2 linked regions of the Rhinolophus ferrumequinum genome follow. The protein of the gene in region 1 interacts with the protein of each later gene in a pairwise test. Links are inferred from orthologs where the notes say so. Each region holds a gene or a part of one and is shown on either strand. Other genes may lie near its edges. The genes, in order: PAK2 and RHOJ.

What was found.
Region 2: the proteins of PAK2 (region 1) and RHOJ interact in binary tests that used the Homo sapiens proteins (3 or more experiments, as listed by UniProt). The two-hybrid records come from large-scale screens. The link is inferred for Rhinolophus ferrumequinum from reciprocal best matches to the Homo sapiens genes PAK2 and RHOJ.

Annotation. Positions count from the first base shown.
Region 1 is NC_046285.1:50,988,558-50,992,475, forward strand, and holds the start of PAK2 (serine/threonine-protein kinase PAK 2), read left to right. Parts: upstream 1-960; 5' UTR 961-1,212; intron 1,213-3,569; 5' UTR 3,570-3,746; intron 3,747-3,918. UniProt on the Homo sapiens protein: Serine/threonine protein kinase that plays a role in a variety of different signaling pathways including cytoskeleton regulation, cell motility, cell cycle progression, apoptosis or proliferation.
Region 2 is NC_046289.1:32,317,577-32,321,494, forward strand, and holds the start of RHOJ (rho-related GTP-binding protein RhoJ), read right to left. Parts: upstream 2,571-3,918; 5' UTR 2,156-2,570; coding exon 1,909-2,155; intron 1-1,908.

The sequences.
Region 1 (3,918 bases):
ATTCTCCACATAGCAATCTAGTGATCTTAAAGTGTAAACCAGATAACATTATTTCCCTGCTTAAAACTCCTTACCATGGCCTTCAAGATCCTTCCTGACCTGAGTCTTGTTTGCTCTAATGTTTTCATTCTACACTGTCCTCCTTGCCCTAAGCTCCAGCTACAAGGCCTTCTTAACTGACCTTAGCAAGCCCTTTTCTTCCTCCTTCTGGTTGTAATCTTTTTCCGGGTGCTTCTCTTAGTTCGCTCTGTTCTTGGCTTAAATGTCACCTCCTTGGCTTCTGTGGTCACCCCATCCAAAGAAACCTCCCCAGTTTTTTCCTTATACCAGACATCATTATTTTAATTATTGTGTTTTCATATTTGTAAGCTCCACAAAGGCAAAGTGAGTCATGTTCACCCTTGTATCCCTGATGCCTTAACAGTATTTGGTACATAGTAGACACTCAAATATTCATAGAATTAGTGAATACATTGATAACGCCTCCAAGGATAAAACATGGACACTTCAATTTGTAAGGAGGTGGAGCTCAATTTAGCAGCAAAATAATAGTAAGTCTGTAGGTAAAAAGCAAAATGGATAATGGATGAGTTCCCAGAAACAAATGTCCTGGAGCAGATTCATGTAACAGTAATATCTGTCAGCATCTTTGGTTAGCACAGACCTGGAGACAATGCTGAATTAAGTGAAGGACTGGCGTGCTCTTAATGTAAAGACCAAAAGAGGAGGGGGAGGCTAGAAGACGAGGGAGAGGGAGAGGGAGGCAGTACACATCTCCAAACTACAACTCCCAGCAGGCCCCACGCGAGTCCCGCCCATTGGAGAGCGGTGCCCGTCTCCGCCCCGTGGAGCTCCAGGCTTCGGGTGGGGAGGGGTGGTACCGTGGCCTCGCTCCTCCTTGCTCCCCGCCGTCGCCCTCCCCCAGGGTTGTGGCCACGCGCAGCGGCGGCGGTTGTTCCGCTTCCCCTCCGGCCGGGGCCGTCGCCATTGCCGAAGGCTCCTTGCCCTCCCCTCCCGGCGCCTGCGGGGCTCGGCTGCCGCTCGGCCTAGCGGTAGCAGCGGCTGCGCTACAGCGCGGCTCCTCTTCTCGTCCCCCTTCCCCTTCCGTCTCCTTCCCGCCGCGAGCCGCGCGCTTGCCCAGGGCGGCTCCGGACCCCGCCGGGAGCTCGGACGGAGGCGCCTCGCTGGGGCGGGGACCTTTCCTCGCCTGGGGTAAGTGTGCAGACAGGCCGGGACGCGGGCCATCTCTCTCCTTCCTTCTTCCTTCTCCGCGGCCTGGCAGGCTCGAGCGGCCCGGAGCAGCCGACCTGCCCCGCGCAGGGCCGGGGCAGCCGCCACCTGCGTGCCTGCAGCCGCGACTTCTGGGGCGGTGGCTCATTGTCTGCTCCCTAGGGCTGTTTTCTCCGTTTTAAGCCCGAAATGGGAAGCTGGCTGGGCAGGTGAGGTCTCACTCTTCCTGAACCCAGCCCTGCCCTAAACCGTGTCGCCACGGATTCTGCCCTGTCTCTGTCTGCCTTCCGTTGCGTTTCAACCTCCTCCTTTTTCTCCGTTTACTTTAATTTTCAACCAGACGTCTTGAGTTTTATTTCCCGATTTTTTCCTCTCTCACTGAGTCCCAGCTCCTCCTTTCTACCCCTCTGTTCATCCCGTTTCACTGCTCAAGCATATTGTCTAAGGCTCTTTACTCTTTCTAAAGTATAATCTGTAATTTCCATATTTCACATTAGTAAAAACGTACAGTTTTCCTGGGGTTTGAGGGCCTCCACTTCAGAACTTTCGGATCTTCTCGTGATTCTTATTTGATCTTCAGCCAGGAGGTGAATATTTGCTTCTTTAGGTAATTTAGGTGAAAATTGACTTTTAACCATGTTTGGCTTTCTTTAAAACTGCACACACATACAAAACGCTCCCACAAATTCCTCCGTGGGCTCAACTTTTGGCCAATTCTTTAAAGATAAAGTCATTCAGTAACTGAAGTGTGAAAAGTAATTGCCATTGTCAGTTGGTGTGGGGTTGTGCCCATTCTTGTATCTTAATTTTAATGGGGTTACTCTGGGCAGTGTGAGCGTGATTTGTTTCCTCCTTGATAAATATTGTCAACTCCCATTGACACAATTATCACAGTTCCACTTCACAAGTGATCTATAGTTTTCTTTTTTAACCTGTGTAAAAAGACAATTAAAATGCTTAGGCCTAAAATTAGACTCCGAGAAGCTGTGTTTTGGATCAAGGTTGTGCACGTCACGTTTTTCCCCCTGCTCTGTTTGACTCTTCCGCTCTTATAAGTAGGCAGGATATTGAAATATACAAGAATTTGCTCTGGGGGTTTTGTTTTTGTAGGGTTATCCAAAAGAATAACATTAAATGAAGTAAGATTGAGATGAAGGCAGTGAATAGTAATTTTTAAAGCAGGTTAGAACTTGTCAGCTTTGCCAGAAGTTCTGTGGCATTCGTAAAACACACTCGTAGTCACTTCTATATATTTTATATATATGAAAAAATACATATAAATGAAAAGCTTTGTGTATATTCTGTTAAGGGTATTGATTTAAGGCAGTTCTTTCATCATCGGCTTTTAAACCTTTCTACCTATTAATTAGCCAAGAACACTGATTTACGGTGTGAAAAGTGAACCTCAAAATGTTTTTGACCTGTAATATATGGAGGTCTTAAACCCACTTTCAGGTTTTGGTGAAAGAGGTTAACCTAAATTCAGTGAATTTTTTGTTTCCACTAAATAGTACATTGTTACCAAAATTGCTTAGTACTGAGCTTCAATACTGTCAACATTTGGTAGTGTCAGTTGTCCTTAACTTCATGGGAGGTCTGCTTAGCCTAAGGTGTTAAGATATAGTAATGTTAGAGTGAAACTTGGTCTGTGATGAGAGCTTCTCTGCCAGTTCTTTCCATAAGCCGATACTTTTACTAAGGAAGAGCTCCTGGGTATTGTGCTTCACTTAGGGCCTTGATTCCTGCTTACCAGTTATTCAAAGAAAGAGTTGTTCTGGACTTTGTGACATTGAATACTAACCTTGTGAATTCAAATTCATAAAGCGACAGTAAGTTTGTAGTTGGAGTATATCTACTAAACAAATGAATAGGGGTTCCTATGTTTCTCTGATGCTTACGATAGGCCCGTTTCCAAGATGTGGTTAACAGTGGTGTATATTTCTTTTCAATTATACTTTTTAAAAGAGAAAACTTAGAACTTGTTCAGGTAGCCAAGGATAAACTTGCAATTATACTTTTTTTAAAAGAGATCTTGTTCAAATAGCTAAGGATAAAATAAGTAGGTACTGTTAAATCCTTCCTATGCTTAATCTGTCAATATTGATTATTCTAATATTAAAATACAATGTTCCTTTTGGAATTCTATATTTTGTACTTTTGATGAAAACTTGAAAGTGGGCCTTATTTAAGGCTTTAAGTCTTCAAGTTTCTGATCAATTTATTTTCCAAAGCCCTTTCAGTTAGTTGGAGGGCTAATTGATTTCAGATTAATCAGAGGGAAGGTGTTACGTTACTCACAGATCTCAGTTGTCTCTCCTATCCTTCTTGTACCTTGGCAGAAGCAGAAAGAGAAGGAAAAAATAGCTCCTATTGCCATGAAGAAATACTGATTGTTTTCTTCTGTGATCAGAATTGAGTGACACTGCATCTTCATTTTAGGATCACTAACCTGATTAAGAGTAGTCAATCTGAACACTCACACGGGATTTGCATTCTAGCTTACTAGTATCTCCGAGGTAAGTTAATGCTTGTCCCACGTACCCCAGGTGGTTAAGGCGGTTAGGAGCCGGAGACCTGGGTTGGAATCCTGGCTCTTCTGCTTGATCCTGGGCAAGATACACATTCTTTTTCAAGACTTGATTTTTTTCATCTGTAAAATGGGAATAATAATAATAATATAATAACAAA
Region 2 (3,918 bases), on another chromosome or scaffold:
ATTAAAGCAACAATGTTTGGGAATGCCTACTGTGTGACAAGTATTGCTTTGGATATAGTGGCTGTGATTTCTTGACAGCTAAAATCGTAGAGTAGCCAAAATCTTTAAGATGCTTGGATAGATAATAAATATGTACACAATTGAAATATAAAAAAATTTGACCCTAGTGGAATCTCGTAGTGCTTCAGCCTTTGATCTTTAATATGTATTTTTTTTTTAATAGGCTGACTTTATCTCTAAAGATGGTTTTATTCTCTTTATCCCTGACATTACATTGTAATTGGTTCACCCAATAGATAGGGTGAGACACGTAATTTTCAAAAGCACTTGAAACCTCTCCTTTTAGTAGATTTTAGGTTTCATATTTGATCTATTATAAATGTTTTTGAAATTAGGTACCAGCCAGGTTCCCTTTCCTGGAGGAAAGAGGGTGTAGAATAAATAAATTTTGCTAAGATCTTTACAGGTCAAGTAGCCTAGTAATTTTCTTAAGTCGCAGACACCCTAATGTTATAATTTGCTTTTTTTTTTTTTTTTTTTTTTTAAAGGTAAAAGTCTACCTGTTCTTCTCTTTATTCTGTTCTCATAAAAATTTTCTTCTCTGGGCACAGTCATTATATTTTCAGAACAGCTGAAGGGAGCCAACATTCAAATTTGCTCTTAATTTCTACAAATATAGAAAAACCTGCTGGGAAATGGATACTATGATTCTCTCCCTGTCTGCTATGTAATATTATCATAAATCATGTAAATGTAGGAGGAGGAGGGGACTTAGGTGATTGTTTAGCTCTGGAAAAGAAGCTACTTCCTGCAGAAAGAGGATTTCAAAAGGCCACATAACAAAGCCAGCACTCACACAGGTTTCCTGTGGGTCGTTTCCCTTTTGCTGAATCTCACCCGAAGCCAAGGTGACGGAAGAGACATTTTCCTCTTACAAAATCTCAAATCTCAGATAATTTATCGAGCTGATCACTATGTTCAAAAAGTTATAAAATCTAGGCTATTGTGAACTTCTGAAGAATTTTATGAACTTTTAAGAAGTTAATAAGATTTGTTTTGGAAATTAAGAGAAAAAGTAAGAGTCAAAATGGAAAAACTTAGATAAGCTATCACACTGATAAGCTATCACACTACAAACTTTAGAACACTGGAAAACTATATACCTGAAAGAATTAAGTTGTGACTATAGTATCTTAACTGCCATGATTTAAAACATTTTATCCCCAATTTTGTCCTTTTGGGACATACTTGAAAATGTTTCAAATTTGATTTTTAATCTTTATTTTTACTTTTAAAAACCTATAAAAATGTTTCTTTTCCTTCAAAATACAGATTGCCTAATAGATATTTAAAACCTTTTAATACTTCCCCCCCATGCATAACCCCAAGAAAATGAAAGTGCAGTAGTAATAGTACATCACCAATTAATATAGAAAAATGAAGGTTCTAATGTTTATTAATCTTAGCATTTTCATTTATGAATGGCCTGAAATGAATATAGGAAAAGTGGCACGAACTCTTGTTTCGCCTGTTATTGTGGTTAGTGGTGATTTTTTTTTTTTTTTGGTAAAAATTGTGGTATAATTACACTACATTTTAAAATGTTCACAATAAAAAGTTGATAAATATGAGGCAAATGGCCCCAAAACCCAGAGGACATTTCAGGGTATTTCCCCCATGTTATTCACTTGATTTAAGAAGGGAAAAGTGTTACAGTACAAATTGATGTACAAATTGTTCTAATAATTCCAGCAAAGCCCTTGGCTGTATGTTATGCTAAGCTACCTGGCTAGTTCTAGGCCCGTACCCAATAGTGACGTTAGACGCGAGCTAGGCCCCTGTGAAGTTGGGTGTCGCCCCCGTATCACTCACCCGGTCTGCAGGGGTAGGTTTTCCGCCTTTTCTTACCTGCATAGTGGTCAAACACGGTGGGCACATACTCCTCTGGGAAGGCATCATTGGCGTAGCTCATCAGCAGGCAGGTTTTCCCCACAGCACCGTCCCCCACCACCACACACTTCAACATCTTCTTCTCTTCTTCGGTGCCCCCGCAGCTGCAGCTGCTGTCATTTCCCTCCTTGCAGTTCATTCTTGCGGCTCCAGCTGTGGTGACTGAGCTGCTGCTGTTGCTTCTCCTGCTTCTCGCAAAGCCCATGGAGCAGCGGGCAGCCAGCGGCAGGCTTGAGATCACTTTGCCTTACTTTGGGTACCTGGGATCATACAAATTCGTCCTTGGCAGCTGGCATATGCCCTCTTGCTTATCATACTGGTAAGGAAAGTTAACACACACACTGACTTGGGAGAATTATTCAAAGGGACTGTCCCTTTTCCCTATCAGTTTGAGTTAAGAAACCCTCATTTTCACTGAATTCTAGGGATTTCCTGCCAATCTGGAAATTTCAACAGCTTGAGGGTTTCACTCTGCTCTCCCCCTTTCCAGCCTGGCTGAAGACACAGTGGAAGTTTGCTGAATCTTCCCCATTTTCCACTTCACATCTAACATGGAGGAAAGCTGGGCTTTTTAATGGAGTTTTCCCCTTGCTTCCTCCAGCTTGCCGAGTGTCAGGAAATCATGGGTTTCCTGCTGCATTCCATATTAGGATCAGTGGGCTGGGGAAGGCTGCAACAATGGGAGCTCTGTGTGTGTGTGTTTGTACTTCTGGGGAACGCTGCCAGAACATGGAGTGGGAAAACACTAGGGGTCCCAAAGCAGACTCAAGCTGTCAGGCTTCCTGTTTCGCGTCCGCTGCTGGGGGGGCTGTTTGCCTGTGGCTGGCTGGGAAGAGGCTGACGAAAGGATGGAAACTGGGGAGTACTGTCTGCCAGAGAAACGGGAATGGTTTAAGTGAGCAGAGCGAACCACACCAGCCGTTGTAGGATAACATATGACATCATCCCTCACTGAGTCACCAGTTAAAAGTTCTGCAAATTAAAAATGGACAGTTCTTCACATACTTAAATGAAAACCTTAAGCAATTCGTCCCTACAATAAAGAAGAAAACCAACACACAAGGGGATTTATAGATGATGTAATACAGAATTGTACACCTGAAATCTATGTAATTTTACTAACAATTGTCACCCCAATAAATTAAAAAAATATATAGTAATTTGTAATATGAATGATAAATCATGCAAATACAGTATTTTGCAAACTATCAAAAAAAGAAAAAAAGAAAACCTCCCAGAGTTACACTGTTTCAAAGGGGAACATTCTTGTAGATTGTAGGTATAATATGTGTGTTCAGGATTATACATTGCCACAGTTGAGCACAACACTCAAACAAACATGTGTTCCAGGCACAAACATTTTTATGGTTGTAGCACATAAGAAATCAGTCAGATGTGGGATATTTGCATCTTCTTATTAGTGAATAAACACACATGTGCTTGGCTCACCCTTACTCTTGGAAATGCGTGTGGGGGATGGCTTTATTAGTTTGTTTTAGGTCCCCAAATGCTGCTTTCACTTTGACGGTTCCCTTTTTGATTTAGTCCTATCCCCTTGGGTCAGCCTGGCCCTCTTCAATTACAAAGGAGCCACTGGCAGCTAATTTATTTGTCTGTTGGGTCACTCAGAATGAAGCCCCTTTGAAGCTCTGCATTTAATTAATGCACTTGGTCTTAGAAAAGAAGTGGAACTCTGCAAATGATTTTGACAATGGGTCAAGTCCCTTTTTGATGAAGGAGCTCTCTGTTTCTTTGAGATTTTTGAGCAGTGATTTTTAAGAATTCAGATTATCCAATTGATTTGAGGAGGGTTTTTAATTTTTTTTGGAGAGGGTGGGAGAGAAGTCTATTTTGATATGTGACTATTGATAATATACATGTATATATGTATACATATATGTGGCTATATATACATATATATGCTACTGTATAATAAATATAGGCCTAAATTTCTTCTGTTTTGAATTA